Linked DNA regions of Oryzias latipes. The protein of the gene in region 1 interacts with the protein of each later gene in a pairwise test. Links are inferred from orthologs where the notes say so. Each region holds a gene or a part of one and is shown in the gene's direction. Other genes may lie near its edges.

Evidence for each region. The genes of interacting proteins can lie anywhere in the genome.
Region 2: the proteins of thrombospondin type-1 domain-containing protein 4 (region 1) and lonrf1 interact in binary tests that used the Homo sapiens proteins (3 or more experiments, as listed by UniProt). The two-hybrid records come from large-scale screens. The link is inferred for Oryzias latipes from reciprocal best matches to the Homo sapiens genes ADAMTSL4 and LONRF1.
Region 3: the proteins of thrombospondin type-1 domain-containing protein 4 (region 1) and smarcc1 interact in binary tests that used the Homo sapiens proteins (3 or more experiments, as listed by UniProt). The two-hybrid records come from large-scale screens. The link is inferred for Oryzias latipes from reciprocal best matches to the Homo sapiens genes ADAMTSL4 and SMARCC1.
Region 4: the proteins of thrombospondin type-1 domain-containing protein 4 (region 1) and fbxw5 interact in binary tests that used the Homo sapiens proteins (3 or more experiments, as listed by UniProt). The two-hybrid records come from large-scale screens. The link is inferred for Oryzias latipes from reciprocal best matches to the Homo sapiens genes ADAMTSL4 and FBXW5.

The regions. Positions count from the first base shown.
Region 1 is NC_019874.2:19,012,014-19,016,304, forward strand, and holds part of thrombospondin type-1 domain-containing protein 4, read left to right. Parts: intron 1-2,282; coding exon 2,283-2,845; intron 2,846-4,291. UniProt on the Homo sapiens protein: Positive regulation of apoptosis. May facilitate FBN1 microfibril biogenesis.
Region 2 is NC_019859.2:13,843,596-13,847,821, reverse strand, and holds the start of lonrf1 (LON peptidase N-terminal domain and RING finger protein 1), read left to right. Parts: upstream 1-1,426; 5' UTR 1,427-1,567; coding exon 1,568-2,174; intron 2,175-4,007; coding exon 4,008-4,123; intron 4,124-4,226.
Region 3 is NC_019874.2:27,744,977-27,748,978, reverse strand, and holds the start of smarcc1 (SWI/SNF complex subunit SMARCC1), read left to right. Parts: upstream 1-1,202; 5' UTR 1,203-1,254; coding exon 1,255-1,437; intron 1,438-2,988; coding exon 2,989-3,108; intron 3,109-3,211; coding exon 3,212-3,297; intron 3,298-3,404; coding exon 3,405-3,486; intron 3,487-3,691; coding exon 3,692-3,784; intron 3,785-3,867; coding exon 3,868-3,937; intron 3,938-4,002. UniProt on the Homo sapiens protein: Involved in transcriptional activation and repression of select genes by chromatin remodeling (alteration of DNA-nucleosome topology).
Region 4 is NC_019870.2:12,262,823-12,266,953, forward strand, and holds the start of fbxw5 (F-box/WD repeat-containing protein 5), read left to right. Parts: upstream 1-1,331; 5' UTR 1,332-1,554; intron 1,555-3,984; 5' UTR 3,985-3,993; coding exon 3,994-4,131. UniProt on the Homo sapiens protein: Substrate recognition component of both SCF (SKP1-CUL1-F-box protein) and DCX (DDB1-CUL4-X-box) E3 ubiquitin-protein ligase complexes.

The DNA.
Region 1 (4,291 bases):
AGTATCGCCTGCAGAAACTTGAGGCAGAAACAGATAAGCAAGTGGACAAAGTTTATCTGTTTTTTTTCCTCTTTTTTTTTTTAGCTCCAGGACATCAATGTCAGAAAAAATAAATGAAAACTGTCTTTACACAGCGTTTGCACACCACTGGCTGTTATTGTGTCCCCACAAGTTGTTTAAAGTAGTTTAACAACAATTTGTGACAATAGAATATTATTTTAGAAGTTTTCGGACTATAGACTTGTCTTGGATTTGTATCCAAATGCTTCAAACTTGATTTAAAGGGCCTATAGCATGCTATTCTTAAGCTTTTTTGAGTAATCTACATTCATATATATGATAATAGATTACCTTTGGCACACTGAATAGCAAATTTTCTAATCAAATATTAATTCCTTTCCTGAGTTCTTTTCCAGCCCATAACTAGGACAACTTGATATCTGAGGCACCGGCTTTCGCTCATTTGGGTGTCGCACATTTCATGACGTCAACCTAGAGCTGGCCTCGGCAGCGTGTCTGCGTCTCGCCCACGAAAATAAACAACATCCAAACTTTTGCAAAGATGGATGTTCATATTGCACATATAAAATGAAGGGGCTTTTGCTGATCACCGCTAAGAAGGTGTGTGTTATCCTGTGGGCGGAGCTGGCAGTGCAGACTCTTCCTGGAAGGGGCGGTTCCTCACTGATCTACATCACAATGTGAGAACCCGCTTGTTTACATGGGTTGGGAGGGGTACAGGTTTTTAGAGGAATACTAAGAAATGCATGAACAGATAAAAAATAGTGCTTTGGGATTGTTTTTTTTTTGTGAGGAATTAACATTATAATACTCTTAAAAGCTAAAAAAAGTTGATTTAGCATAATTTAGGCCCTTTAAACTTGCAAAAAGAGATTTAAGAACACCTCTTGGTGGGATTCAATACATCGAAAACCTTTTTTTGTACCCACAAACCTGTGCAAACTCCCTTCCACTGGAACCTTTCTCTTTCATTTTCTCGGACTAATGGGAGCCCGTGAGGCAGGACTTAACAAGTGTGCATGAAAATACAAGTTTGCATCTCAACACCTGTCCTCCTTTACCCATCCACCAACTGTTTGTTTCATATTCTTATCTGTGTCTGCCCATGTCCACACCCCTGAAGCACGCATGCTTTTGCAGAGAGTGCAGGGGAAGTTGAGCGCAGATTTTGGTGCCTTCTCAATGGAAACTTTTGTTCAGCTCGCATGTTTGCCACACTGCCAACCAGGCCAGTGCCTCGGTTATGAAATGAGAGGAAAAACATTTATCTACAACCTCACAGGAGTGAATCAAAGCCTTAACTGATTTTGTTGTGGACATATCCCACCAACTCCAGTCAGTTTGTTCAGCTGCTCTTGTGGCGTTGGCAGGTGACACAGTGTCTTTGAGCCAAAGCGCAGTATGAAGAATTCAGGATTTATATTTTTGCCTCAGAGGAAGGAAAGTCACGAGACGGCAGAGAAAGAAATCCCAGCAGAGAGTTAGGATTTTGCGATGGAAAAGGTTTCACTTCTATAACTTACAGCAGCTTTTAGTCAGTCAGTATAGTACAATTTATGGGACACATCAGGAAAAAGTACTAGAAGAGATTAAAATGATATCATCCAGGTATAATCAGCTGCTTTTTTGATATTGTTTTTAGATTTTAAGAACGTAAGAGGAAAAAAAAACGACAGATCTCTGAATAAAAGAGATTGTGGCCTCAGGGAGAGTAAATTATATGTTAAATGTGGCTGTTTGGCCTTAAATTACGGTAAGGAAATCCAGACAACAAATGTTTATTTAGTTCTTCTTAGCACCATTGATCCTCGTCTGCTTAAGAAGTTCGTCTTTGAACAAAAATGAATTCCAGACAGTTTTTGAAGAAAATAATTAAAGCCCTGAACTTCATCACCCCTTTACTTTTTATTCTACAATCCTGAGATGTGCAGCATCTGTACATTTCAGATCTCAGCTTCATGTGTGGCAGAGCTTTCAGAATTCTCTTCCTTGTGATATCTGTTACTGTAGTTCTTTCCTTTTTCAATCCAAACTTAAAACTCTATAATTTAAATCTGCAGTTTCTCTGATATCCTCCTAGTTCTATTTTTGTACCACATTTTTCCCCCTATTAAATTACATTTTTAGTGTTTTACCAACTCTATATCTCCCCTGTGTGTATTGAAAATTGTATTTAAAAATATATATAACGTTTAATGTTCTCAAACAAATTATTGCATGCTCAGATGGTTTTTTTTGTCTCTGTGTGTTTGTGTTTTCAGGCGGCCTCTCGTAGGTCCAGACAGGTTTTTGAGGTGGAGCCTGTGGAGGGCGTGTGGTCCCTCTGGGGGGAGTGGTCAGAATGTTCTCAAACTTGCGGCGTAGGTGTCTCACTGAGAAGCAGGCTGTGTCTGGCCCCTCCACCTCCTCAGACCCGCCCCTTCTCCCCACTCAATTGGGCAGGATATCTCCCTGGGGGCAACGGACGCCCTGCGACCTCACCTGTGAGCCCATACTACCAGTCTCGTCACCCTGGGCAACATCCATCGTATAACTCTCCATCAGTCTCCACCAATAACAACCCAGGATTGCCCTTGTATCTGAACTCACCTGCTGCTGCTCCAGGGCAACCTGCCCGCTCGCTTCCTTTTTATCATCCAGATTTTCCCTCAACCAATCAAGATGCAGTTTCTTCTTACCGCTCCCCCTACCACGTGCCTTCACAAGGCTACAACCAGCCACCAAGAGTCTTCAGGAGGCCACAAAACCCAGGAGCAGAGAGAGCCGGAGCAGGTGGGAGCAGACGCTCAGTCTCGACCAATCGAGAGGTTTCAACTTCAAGGAGGTGAGTGACCCTGAAGGAATTCAATGTACATCAACCCAACCTAAATCACTAAGAGCAGAAAGAAAGGAAACACCTTAAAGCATCATTCTGAAGGTTTGCTTTGCCTCTGACCATAACCATCAACATAGATGAGTGGTTTCTTTAACCATCCTCATGTCAGAGATGAACAGCCCTGTAGCAAACAAAACCTAAAATTTGTTTTGGTCCACAGATTTCATTTGACATAAGAGGAAACCTCGGGTTAGTTTTTTTTAAATGTTTTTGAATAGATGTGGATTTTTCCCTGTTGATGTCTCTTCTTTTGTGGGGCTTTTTGAAGGATCCTTTTTATATTAAAATTCATGAGGTTTTTGCTGCAGGGGAGCACAGACAAAGCTAAAAAGGGATTTCAATCTAATGTTTCACTTTTTTATGAACTCATCCTAACATAAATGTTTAGTTTGTTTTTGAACTAGTGATCAATTATAGTTCATCAAAGTTCTGTGTTTTCATTTTTGATGTCTGAGAATAAAAGCTTGTGTGTTTGGTCCTGTCAGCACCCTGAGTTCTCCTTTTTAAGGAGACATTCTTTCACACAAAAGGAAGTGATTCTTGCATGGGTGGCATTAGCAACAGAGCTTTGTTTGGGTTAAACAGTAGCTGTCACATTCTTAAAAGACAAAGAGAAGATATGTATCTCATCAGAGAAAGCACAACGAGAAGCCAGAGAGAAGGAAATAGAGTTTCAATGTACCCCACATTGTTGAGGATTATTAAAGACCCACTCCGATGGAAACGGTACGGGTTTTTGTGGAATTTTTCTCATGACAGAGATTTTATATAAAGAGAAAATTAATCTTAAATTGTGTTTTTTAAATTTAAATCATTGTGAATCAGAAGCAGACACAAAAATGACGTTGAAAAAGCTCTTAAGTGTGACATAAAAGTTACAACTGCAGGCCACAACCGTCCTGCGCCACTTCATTCTGATGCATCCGCTTGCAGACAAATAGATCCATGTATGTCTTTTTTTTCCCTCTCGAACTGGCATGTGGCTCCAAACTGTACTGTTGCAAAGCACCAATATTACTCACGATTTTTGTTGCACCGTTAATGTTATCTTGGGTTTTGTGTGGGGTGTGGGGCTGTAAGCTAGTAGGAGAGCTTGTAAACAGATTGATGTTGGGAAATGGGGACAGGCTTACTCAGCCCCAACAGTCCCGCCAACAAATCAGACATACATTTCTGATAAACTCCTGCTGCTGTGCAGAAACTATGTTATATAAAACAACAGCTTTTTTTTTTTAATTAAGGCTAGAAACTGCATTATCACAATTTAAAGACCGCTTAGAAAATAGATCAAAGTGGGAATTTAAGGCACCATTAGCTTAATGACAGTGTTTACTATGATAATCATCTGTGTTTTACAGTATTATTTATGGACCACTTTGCCCGATCATCATGGAT
Region 2 (4,226 bases), on another chromosome or scaffold:
TATGAAAGCATTAAAGGAAAATGAGTGGTAGAAAAAGCTGTAACAGAAACAGGGATCACCGCAGCTTTCAAAGGATTGCCGAACAAAATCTATATAAATTTAGAGATCACAAGTGGCAAATGCTCCTTTTCTCATATCGAGCCACTTTTGAACCTAAAGACAAAGTTAGAAGTGTCTAACTGGGACTAAGGAGAAAAAAGAACTGGGCTGTTGCTGAGGGTCCAAACTCATATTTTCAGTAATTTTGTATTCCATTTGGAATTTAAGGTTTTGGAGTCTGGAGTTCTGGGGTCTAGAACAAAAGTGGAGAGGCATAGAATCCATGTTGCTTGAAGTCCAGTATGATGATTTAAGGTCATTGGCATCTGCTGGTGTTGCAGATGACAGTTGACTTTTCTGACGTCCACAATCAATGCAAGCATCTGTCAGGAAATTCTAAAGCACTTTACACTGCCCTCTTCTGACAAGGTGTGTGGAGATGCTGCTTATATTTTTCAGCAGGACTTGGCACAAATATGGGATGAAAAGATACATTTTTGATTAGTCTGATGAAATTTTCTAATATTCTAAGACAGTAAATGTGAGGCTTATATCATTTATGAGCCATATTCATAAAAAGGAACAAAGAAGTCCTTAAACTGACTTGTTTATTTAAATTGTATTCATTGTATTGACTGGGAAAAATAGTAAGCTTTTTTGTTTTGTTTTGTTGCTAAATTCTAATTTTGGTGTTGTATAATAGGTTAAATCAGTATTAAATTACCTTAAGTAAACATAAGGAGTGCTCATACATTTTGCAATATATTTTACTATTATAAGGATTAATGTTTGACCTCAGTCTGATGGCTAAGCAAAAAAAAAAAAAAACATTTCTTGCCAAAAAAATTGTGCTTTATTCCCTTATATTTACTTTTATCCTTTTAAATACGTACAAATAAATCCCCACTTTAATTGTTAATTGTACATCATACTAAACATCTAAAAAATTTGATTTAGTGAGATTTTTCAAAATGCAGAAAAACAATATCATGCAACTTTTCTATGTTTTTTTTATCTCCATCCAATTGGGTCGGATTCCTTTAGTCTGTATTTATAATTATGATTACTCTAAAAAATATGATTACTTTTTTATTTCGTTCTTTTTTATGACTAGGTAACTTTGCTTTTATTACTTTGTGGTTGAATTGATAACTCTCCTGTTTTCCTAAATGTATTAATTGCTGAAATATGTGATTACCTGCCGTTCTCTAAGAATCACATAATAAACTATAACAGTGTAAAATTGAAGCCCATGTTTCTGACGGCGTCGACATCCAGCGCACTTTAATACGTCCCTTCCGTAGTTATGAAACTTTACAGCACATGTTTTGTAACCGAGACAGTTTGACCAATCAGGACTCAGCGTGCTGTTCACGTGATGCAGATTTTTTTATGTAACAATCAGAGTATCTGTGAGAAAAACAGTTCTGTAATTTGTCAAAGACCGCGGCAGCTATCGCCATGTATAAACACACAGCTAGACGAAAAGCTCCGCATTTATAGCATTCCCAGACTCGTTCATGCTAAAATGTCGCTACAACCACAAGTGGCGGAGGCACCGGAGGAAAGACTGAGCTTCTTTATCGGTGCGGACCCGGTCTCAGGGGGAGAGGAGGAGGACCATTCCCATCATTGTGAGCTCATTTTGGAGAAAGGAAACGCATTGGCTTCGAAAGACTGTCTAAAGGAAGCCATTGACTGGTTCTCCGCGGCCGTGCGCTATGGCCCCGTGCGACCCGAGCAGCTCAGCACCTTCGTGGACTGTATTCTCCGCAATTTCAAGACGAAAACGGCCGGACGAGAAGGACCCACAGGCCTGGGTGAGGAAGAAGGGGAGGACTCGGTGTTGCTGGAGTGTCCCAACTGTCGGGGCTTTTTGGGCGAACCCGTGACCGTAGCCTGCGGACACTCGTACTGTAGAAGATGTTTGCACCGGCGGTTGCTTTCGAAATGCAAACTGTGCTGTGAACCTGTCAGCGGCGAGGAGAAACTGAATGTAACTCTGTGCGGACTTGTAGAAAAATGTTTCCCAGAGGAGCTGAAGAAGTTGAAAACATTAAGTGAAGTGGACGCCATGTGTAAAAGGAAACGCTACAGAGAAGCTGTTTCACACGCGACTGCTGTTCTCCGGTCAGGTGAGTCTCATAACACACACGTCTCTAACTAAGGTCGGTCACAAGAAGGCTCTTTATTCATCGGTATCTATGACTTTCTGGTGGAGTTCAGAGGTTCGCGGGGCTCTGTCGGTTTTTTTATTTTTATTTTCACTAAGCTCAGATTGGATACTTTTGGTGACATTTGTTGACCCACATTTTCACTACAAACGCTGAAGTGGTTCGCGGCTCTCGGGATCTCGGGAGATGGCAGGGCCTCGCTTATGAAAGTGGGGAGACTGCGCATGCGCGTTTGAGGAAAGTTGTGTAAGGCAGGTCGTGACACTTTGGGCAGGTTTTGCAACTTAAAAAAGGGGGGGGGGGGGATTTTGTAATTGTGTGAGCTGTTACGAACCATGCTTTCATAAATATTTTTTTACGGCTGCAAACGTATATTCATGGGGCGAGAAATAGTTTTTTTTCGGCCAGTACTTACACCTACTACTAGCAAAGCAGCAAAGCGGGGGTTTTCAATAACAATATCCTCATAGGGAGAAATGATTTTTTTTTTAACTCAAATCTATGACAAAAATCTTCACCGGCTAAAATCAAACAAGTAAAAAAATAAAATCTAAGATAAATAATATATTTTTTGAAGTCCTACATAATTCAATAGTTAAAAAAATGTTTACTAGCCACTTCAAGTTAACCAGTTTATTAGAATAGAATTGAATGCAAATTTATTGATCCCATTGAGAGGAAATGATTGTAAGAATATTTAATATTATTCAACAGTTGCATAGTAGTTTAGAATAACAATTGGGCCTTCAAAAGATATAGTATCACTTTCAACCTACTGTTGTAATAAACATACTATACAATTGTATGTTAACAAAGCTTAGATTACCTATTTAAAAACACTTTAAAACATTCTTTATTAATTTTTTTAAACAAAATATTTCAAACTATGTAAACAAATTAAGACCGTTCCAGGTTTTTTCCCCCTGATCAATAAGCAAATATTAATTTTTAAAATATGATTTGGAGTAAATGCCGATGTGCACTACTTAAAAAAAGTGATTATTTAACCAAATAATAATTTTTTTTTATTACAATTGTTGTTGCTATTATTATGCTGTATTAGGTATGCAAAGTGACATTGTGTTGAAAAAGTACAATGAATTAAAAAAAGTAGGTGGACTACACCAAGACAAAACATGATGACATGAAGGTGCAGCGTAGTGATAACCCTTGTAATGATCATAAAGGCACCTGGTCATGTTTAAAAAAATGTTCTGTTGACATTTATTGGAGCAAAAAAATTCATTTGAAAGTGTACTATTTAGTTATTTCTCTACCCGATATGGAAATCTTCATTCTCTCAAAGTTCCATTTGTTCAGATTGTGTATTTCAAACACAGCTTTAATAAGTAGCATCCAGCAAAATGAAAATTATTCTTCTAATATCAATTTCTGCTTAAAAAATATATGCTTTGATTAGAAGGCTTACTTCCATTAAAAAAAAAAAAAAAAAAACCACATGATTTATTTGGAAACAGAAAGTCAACTTAAGTCTTTTTATGTAATTCCTTCTAAATCAATTTTTTCCTGACATTATCGACACTTTTGCAAAATTTAAGGAGATATGATTATGTAATGTATGACCTTAAGGAAAACTTTCGGTTTCAGGAAACGGGAACTTACTTGCGCAACCAGACTCGTACTTTTTTCTGGTCCATGACACACATTCATGTTTGTTTTGAAGTTTATGGTATCTTATTGGTAAATGATTTATCTCTTCTCTGCCATGGATGGAAACTAAAACATTATACGATATCAACAAACATGGCATGAATATTAATTTCTCTCTTACAGATCCACACATGATGGCGGCTCGTCTGTCTAGAGCGGAAGCATACATGGCTCTCAAGCAGTACCGACTGGCTTTAGAGGACGCCGAATTCTGTTCCAGATCCACTTGTTCTGCTGAAGTATGTCACAAACAGCAGTTTTTTAAAATTCCATCCAATATCCTTTTGAGCGAGGTTAAAAAATAAATGTTTTGGGTTAAATAAGGTTAGAAAACCAAAATGA
Region 3 (4,002 bases), about 8.7 Mb from region 1:
ACTTTAATTTTGCAATGACTTCAGCTGTCTTAAGCTGTCTTTAAAATGTTTCCATTCTTTGTTATTTTTTTACTTTTCTAGCTCCACACTTTGTAAAGTTAAACATTTTTTATCAGGGTTTATTCCACCACAGTTCCCTGCTTCCCTCAAGTTAAGAGTCTGGGTGTCAAATAATATCAATAACATGGCTCAGTCATCAAATTTAGTCCTGCAAAAAATCAACCACTTTTGCCTGTTCTCAACCCCCATTCTGCATCTGTACTTGTCCACAGCCTTGTCACTTCCTGCATTAATTACTGCAACTCTTTACTCTGTCCTCTTTCACAAAAACTGATTATTCTTATTCTTATATAATATTATTATTTGCTTTGTTTTATTCAGATTTACACATATTTTCCTGAAAACGAGCAAACATGTTTTTTTTCTGCCATCTACTGGTCAGGAACTGCCATGATGCTGTTTGGTTGAATTGCCATTTTGTATTTAACCTAAATTTAGTAACTTGTGTGTATGCTGTAATATTTACATTAACAACAGATCATTGTCTATATGTTGATATCTTGTGTAAAAATTCACATATTGTTCGTACAATTATTTTTCTCAACACCCAGCTTAGAGGCAGACAGAAAAAAAAGTATATATGTTTGCAAGAAAACACAAAAGAACTGTCATTTTCATTTAAATATTAAAATAGTTTTTGCTCATCGATTAAGTTATTTGTCTCATCCCACCCAAGATTTTCCCTGAACCATTAAATTGATTGTTTGGGACTTTTATAGGCAGTAATGTCGATAAATGGAAGACTGAAAATAGTCTAAGAAGTTTGTTGTTTAAAAAGCAGTGGTAACACGTGTTAGAAATAATTTTATTTATCAAACCACAATAATTGGTCACACTGAATGAAAAAGATGGGTTGATTACGATTACCTTTTTTTGTAGGGGTTAAACAACCACAATGTTGGGAGATTTTAAGAAAAAAAAACTAACTTGACCGAGTAATCAAAATTATATAGTGCCGCACTATATAGGGTTTTAGTAGTTAGGGATTAGGGTAGGAATTCGGACACAGCCTAATCTTTTTTTCCCCAGTAATTTTTCCAGCATCTTATTTCAATACATTTCCCAAAAGCCCAGTCAAGTGCGAGTCTCGCGAGATTCAAAATGCGGGAAGATGTTTGCGGCTGCGCAATATCATTCAAAAACTTGCACAGTGCGGTACGCTGTGGGAGAGAAAGACAACGAGCTAAACATACAATGGCGATGGCGGCGACAACGGCAGGAACAGGCTCGGGCGGACCAGCATCTGGCCCTGTCGGCAGCGGAACAGCAGTAGGAAGAAAGAAAGATGGTGGTCCATCAACGAAATTTTGGGAGAGCTCAGAAACTGTGTCCCAGCTGGAATCGGTTCGACTCTGGATTGGAAAGCACTACAAGAAGGTAAGCTAGTACTAGTTGCTTCAGTCCAAGAGACGGCCCGCGTCTGGCTAGCACAATGGAGTGCTGGTGTTTCAGCTAACTTTAGCTATTCAACGATTGGAATAGCAAAGATTTATGAAGGTGTGTGTAGTTTAAATTTTGTTTAAGGACCAAGGACTTAAAAAATAGATGCTAACAGGAAAAACGTAAACTAGAAGCATGCTAATACTTGGCCTGAACGAAGCTGTTTATCAATTAGCTAGCACATGATTAGCTTTCTAACTGCTAATTCGCTATAGACGACACACATAGCAGCCGCAGCTCAAATGTTTACAGACAGCCCCTTAATGACACAAATGCTGTTTTCACGTTATTATCACACGTAGTATTTACTCGGGTAGTGGAAATTGAAAGGTACTATAGTATAGTGCATTTCGTACAGGAACAGGCCTCAGACAGAAGCTAACAGAAAAGTCACGGGACTCCATGAACAAAATAAATGAAATGCTTTTCATTACACTACTATAACAACATGCAGCCTTGACGGGAAGCATGGATCTGGTTTGCCCGTGGATTTAAAAGATTCTGTATGTTTTGAGTTAAGAGCTGGATGGGTTTTGTCAACAACAGTACAGTAGCAGCTGCATGTTCAGCTCCAGTTTTTACTCGCCCACCAGTGGGTGGGTTTGCAAACAAAGACTCTTTCCTGTATTTAGACCCTCACTCCCACTCTCTTTCAATATTTACATAGTAACTCAGCAGTTTCATGAAATATCACGCACCTTTATAACTTTTATTTTATTTTTAAAACTATTTTCCAAAAAAAAAAAAAAAAAATCAAGTTCGTATAAATATAATTTCCTGTACATTTTAGCCAAGTCTAGAAAAGAAACATTGCATGTTCAGCTTTACCTTTTTTTAATCATAACCTTCTCATCGTTATAAAGACAACTGGAACAATCAATCTTTATCAGCGAGTTCCTGCAAACCTAAAGTGCTGTAAAATTGCAGACAATAGGAAAAAAAAACTTTTAAAAAGTGATAGTATTGAAATAAAATTATAGATTAAATAAAGTCCCCTTTTAATACGTATACATGCCAAGTAAAAAATTTATTTTAAGAGAAGACTTATAATTAGATGGTGAGGAAAAGAGTGGGAGATTCCAAAGATTTGAAGCTGCTGCAGCAAAAGCAGTCAAACCTTTTTTCGATCACTTTTTTCACATTAGAATAAAACTGAGGTTTTATGGGTAAATCTTGTTTTCTTAAAACGTTTTGTCACATGAATATGTCTTCTAAACCGGTCCTGGTATTTGTAGGTTAAAAATTCCGACGGTAAAAGTTCTGTTTGCAGAATAAATCAAATCTTAGTCAAATTAGGCCCCTAACTTGATCTAAAATCTCAGCAAAAATACATTTGTTATTAATAGGCAAAAACAGACTTTTATTTTTTTATTTTTGCATTAAATAATAAATTGATGTCAAGAGTAATGGTGTGTCTGTTGTAGAAACTTTTTTGTTAAGAATGTTTTTGTTTTGTTTTTTCAAACATTTGTCTCTTTTTGGGTCCAGTATGTCCAGAACGATTCCCCATCCAGTAAATCGTTGGCCGGTTTGGTGGTCCAATTGCTGCAGTTTCAGGAGGATGCGTTTGGACGCAGGGTCAACAATCCTGCTCTTACTAAGTTGCCTGTAAGCCAGCACATTGATTACAAAACACAGATGTGATAACCCCTAACATGGTACAGTTTAAAGTTAACTAAAACTATCCTGATTATTCCTTTCTGTCCACCAGGCAAAATGTTTTATGGATTTTAAGGCAGGAGGGGCTCTCTGTCACATCCTGGGATCAGTCTATAAGTTTAAGAGCGAGCAGGGATGGTGAGTTTGTTTCTAATACATATTGCAGGAAAAATGTAATGATGAATCTGTCGTGCTGACATATTTGTTGTTTTTACGTTACAAAATGACTTTTGTTGTACTTTCAGGCGCCGTTTTGATCTGCAGAATCCGTCTCGAATGGACAGGAATGTGGAAATGTTCCTTAATGTAGAGAAGAACCTCGTACAGGTATGAGGTGGAAAAACTTTACCTGATGCTGAAACTAGAGGGTCTTTACATTTAGAATTTAATTATCGACTATTACAAAACTGCTCTCATCTGCAAGTTTCACTGCTTTCTCTGATGCTTTTTTTTAAATACCTTTATGTCGTCTGAATGGATATTTATTTTAATGTAAAATTTTATTAATTAATTAATTTTTTATTTACTGTAGAATAACTGTTTGACTCGGCCCATCGTCTTTTTGTCACCTGACGTTGAACCCAAACAAGCCAGTAAGCTCAAAGACATCATCAAAAGACACCAGGTGAGTCTAAATAAAGAAAATGTAAATTTTAAAAGATAAAAACTATCATTTTTAATGCTGTCCATTGCTGCTCTACTTCCCAGGGCTCCATCACTGAGGACAAGTCTAAGGCTACTCACCACATTTACCCTTCTCCGGGTCAACAAGAAGAAGGTTGGAGAGTTTTTCTCTCTTTGTTTAGTTGTTTTTGATGAAAAGTATTAGGAAGCGCTAATTCT
Region 4 (4,131 bases), on another chromosome or scaffold:
TAAGCATGTGGACATTGTCAAGATGATCTGCTGCACCAAGCATCAGCATGGGGAAGAAAGATTATTACGTGACTTTGAATGCTGGTCTTAGTCTTTAAGAAACTGCCAATCTACTGGGATTTCCATCCACAGCCATATCTACAGTTCACAGAGAATGGTTTGAACAAGAGACAATATCCAGTGAGTGACAGTTCTGTGGGTGGAAATGCCTTGTTGATGCCAGAGGTCAGAGGAGAATCGCCAGACTGGTTTCAGCTGATAGAAAGGCAACAGTAATTCAAATAAGCACTGGTTACAACTGAGGTCTTCAACCAAGAGCATATCTGACGGCACAACACATCCAACCTGTAGACAGAGTAGCTACAGCAGCAGAAGACCACACCAGGTGGCACTCCTGTCTGCTAAGAAGAAGAAACTGAGGCTCACCAAAATTGGACAATAGAAGATTAGAAAAATGATGCCTTGTCTGATTATTCTGGATTTCTGCTGCCACATTCAGATTGTGGGGTCAGAATTTGCCTTCAATAACATGAAGGCATGAATCCATCTTACCTTGTATCAACGGTTCAGGCTGTTGGTGGTGTATTCATGTGGGGTACATTTTTTTGCACACTTTGGGCCTCTTAGTACCAATTGAGCATGAATACAATGCCACAACCTTCCTGAGTATTGTTGCTGACCATATCCATCCCTTTATGACCACAGTGTAACGTCTTCTTATGGTGACTTCCAGCAGAATCATCTCAGACTGGTTTCTGGAACAAAATAATGAGTTCACTGGACTCAAATGGCCTCCCCTGTCACCAAATCTCAACCCAACAGATCACCTTTGGGATGTGGTAGAACGGGAGATTGGCAGCATGGATGTTCAACCAACAAATCTGCAGCAACTACGGGATGCTATCATGTCAATATGGATCAGACTCTCAGTTTTGAAGGCAAAAGGGGGTCCAACCTGGTACTAGCATGGTGTACCCAATGAAGTGGCTGTGAGTGTAGATTAACACAATAAAAGACCATGTAGAAGTCTGACAACATGATTTAAAAATGATTTAATTTTAATGATTTAAAAATTTAAAGTGCAGGTCTAGTTCCACTTAAAATGTGACAAGGGTGAACATTACAAAAATAATAAAATAAAATGCATCATTTGTTCCTCTTGGGTCGAGTAAAGCCTAACTTGTGCATTAATGTTCTTATTCAAATATATTTCACATGGGAAGAAAAAACTTCATAAAAACTTTATTTATAAAAAGCACGTCAAATAAATATGTGAATGCCGAGGGGAATCATGGGAAGAAATAAACATCAGTTTATAGAATCCTTAATACAGCAACTATAAAGAAAGTAAAACAAAAAAAAAACAAAATAAAATAAAAAGGAACTAACTTCAAGCAGCGAAAAGATTGAATCGATTGAGTTGGTCTTTCCGCATCGATGCCTCTGCTATCTGCTTGTTAAGCTCCGCTGTGTTGCTGGGCGATTGTTTTCATTTTGTGCGGTTAGCCTTCAACGCAGCCTAAATGTTTCTCTTCAAAAAACTTTGATCAGCAGGTGAGTCACATTTCACATCGCTTGTTTTTTAATTGAACGCAAACTAACTCGTCAACTCGTGAGATGACACTGCCTGTTTGGGAGCCAAACCGCGTCTTGTTGCGACAATTTAGCCTCGTTAGCTAAAAGTTGAGACAAATGTCAGCTAGCAGCTAGTTAGCTCTTAACAAGTTAGCCGGTTTAACTAGCTAGATAGATATATTTGTTTGTTTTAGCTGCAAAGAAATATCGTAAATCGATTAGAAACGCGCTAAAATTGATATATATCCGAGTAGTTCATGTTGACACATACGATAACCGATTTTGCTGTTGGTGTAAACAGGATAAGGATTCACCATTGAACTACATAGAAAAACAACTCTTCAGCAAAATATGTTGAGCCACACAAGCTATGAAGGAAAACGTTTAAGACATTAGTTATTGTTATTGTAGTTACATAAATAAATGGGGTAGGGGGAGGGAGAACACACTTTAAGAGTTCATATATTCATCTTTTTTATTTTTTATTAAGAGTTCCGTTTTGTTTTTGTTTTGGCTTAGGACGCGACTTTCTGAAGAACTAGAAGAAGTAGAAAAATTGACTCCCAAAATTTAAAGTTTGTCCAAAACCGGATTAAAAGAGAAAACTCTTATATGACAGTTAGTTACGTTTTGTTTAGCTGTTGCTTTTCAAACACGAACAACGAGTTTTATTTTTGGAACATTTATTGCCAAAACTGGCTACATTAGGAACGCTTAGATGATAGATCTACTGGCCCGAAAAGCAGCAAGATTTTATTTGTTCTTTAGCATCTAATAGTTGGGAAGTGCTCTGAATAGTTTCATTATGGCATGAGAATTAAACATTTTAAGTAATTATATATAGAGGACTGTAACCTTTAACAGTAAAAGAGCCATTTGGTCCAGTTTTTTACTCACCAAAACCCAACAAGAGCTGCAAAGTCTCACTTTGTTTAGAAAATACCCTTTATTTATGTTTTTGTAACCTTTAAGCCATTTACTAATAAAATGTAGTTTTTATGTATTTACAATAATTTAATTAAGACAGTGTGATATTTTTCCTATATATGAATATTTTACCGGTAATTTATTTTACTCTAGACAAATGCACATACGAGTTCCTTTCAAAATAAAACACACCTTGTTTAAATAAGATCCTTTTGCTGCAGCAAATTTACTTAAATTAAAAATGCAAGAAAGTAAAGTCAAACATGGATTTTATTTTTTATAATTATCTGTTTGGTGTTTCTTCATCCTTTTTCTCTTGAATATAAACATGACAACATTAGGGAGCCTCAGGTTGACGCCTGGTACTACAAAGTAGCATTTTTTTGTGATTTTTAAATATCAATTATTTTTGATAGTTTTGGATAGGGTACTTAAAAATACGTTTGCTGAAATGTTTATAGATATACCCAAATGTGCCATGATTAATAGCAAAGGGAAAGGTTTATAAGGAGAGATTGATACAAAGAAAATTATTAGGATTATTTAGTAAGTTGATGCAAACTTTAAAGTACTGCTTTTATTGAAAGTTAAAGGCCCATTAGTTGTCATACACGTACCTTGGTGTGTGACATTTGTTCTCTGCATTTTACCCATCCCTTTGGGCAGCAGTGAGCTGCAGACACAGCTGTGCTCTGGATTTAACCCAAATCCAGCCCTTCATGCTGATGTACCGCAGCTCCTTCATTCCAACCGCTGTTGGACTGGACAACTAAACAGTCTTACAACAGATGCAATAATGGTTTATTCCTGACAAAAACATTCAATGCTCTACTGCTTTTTTCTTTAGTTCCGGGGCTTTTCATTTTCTCCGTCAGTTCATTACAGTGTTTATAATGAGAGTTTTTGAAGAATTGTATTTTATTTAATGTTGTTTTTACCTTACCTGTGATTGTTTTACCCATTTTATTTTTCCTTGCACCTTAATGCTTGATCCCCAGAGCTGCTGTAACAATTGAATTTCCCCACAGCAGGATCAATAAAGTTCATCTTATCTTACGAGTGTAAAGCATACCCTATTTTTAGTCTTTGGTACAACTCCACAGTAGATTTCAACTTACAACCTTCCTGTCTCAGGGCAGAAACTGTACCACAAGGCCACTGAATTGGTTGGTTAGTTTCAAATCTTTAAATTAACAGAGAATAAAGGCTTCATTCGGTTGCAATAAAACCATTTTGTTTAATTAAAAGTCAGCTTGTGGTCTTTATTAGCAGAAGCATGGCTTTGGTTCAGCTCAGTAAATTTCACAACACTACATGTTATTTCTGAATGTGGAGAAAGAGATCTGCTGCAGAGCTTTGGAGAAAAGCCAAGCTGAGTGGAAAGAAATGAATAGGAACAAGTTACGTACTTAAAGTGTGTGTGTTCTTGTGACTCAGAAGCAAACAGCCATAAAGCTAACATAAAGTACTCGTGTGTTTCAGGATGTTAGGATGGAGGGCTGTCTACTTCTGCCCGACAGCTTGGTTTTGGAGATCTTCTTGCGTCTGTCTCACACTGCCGTGCTGAGAGCTGGTCTGACCTGCAGACAGTGGCAGGCCGTCTCCAGAGATGAGTTCCTGTGGAGGGAG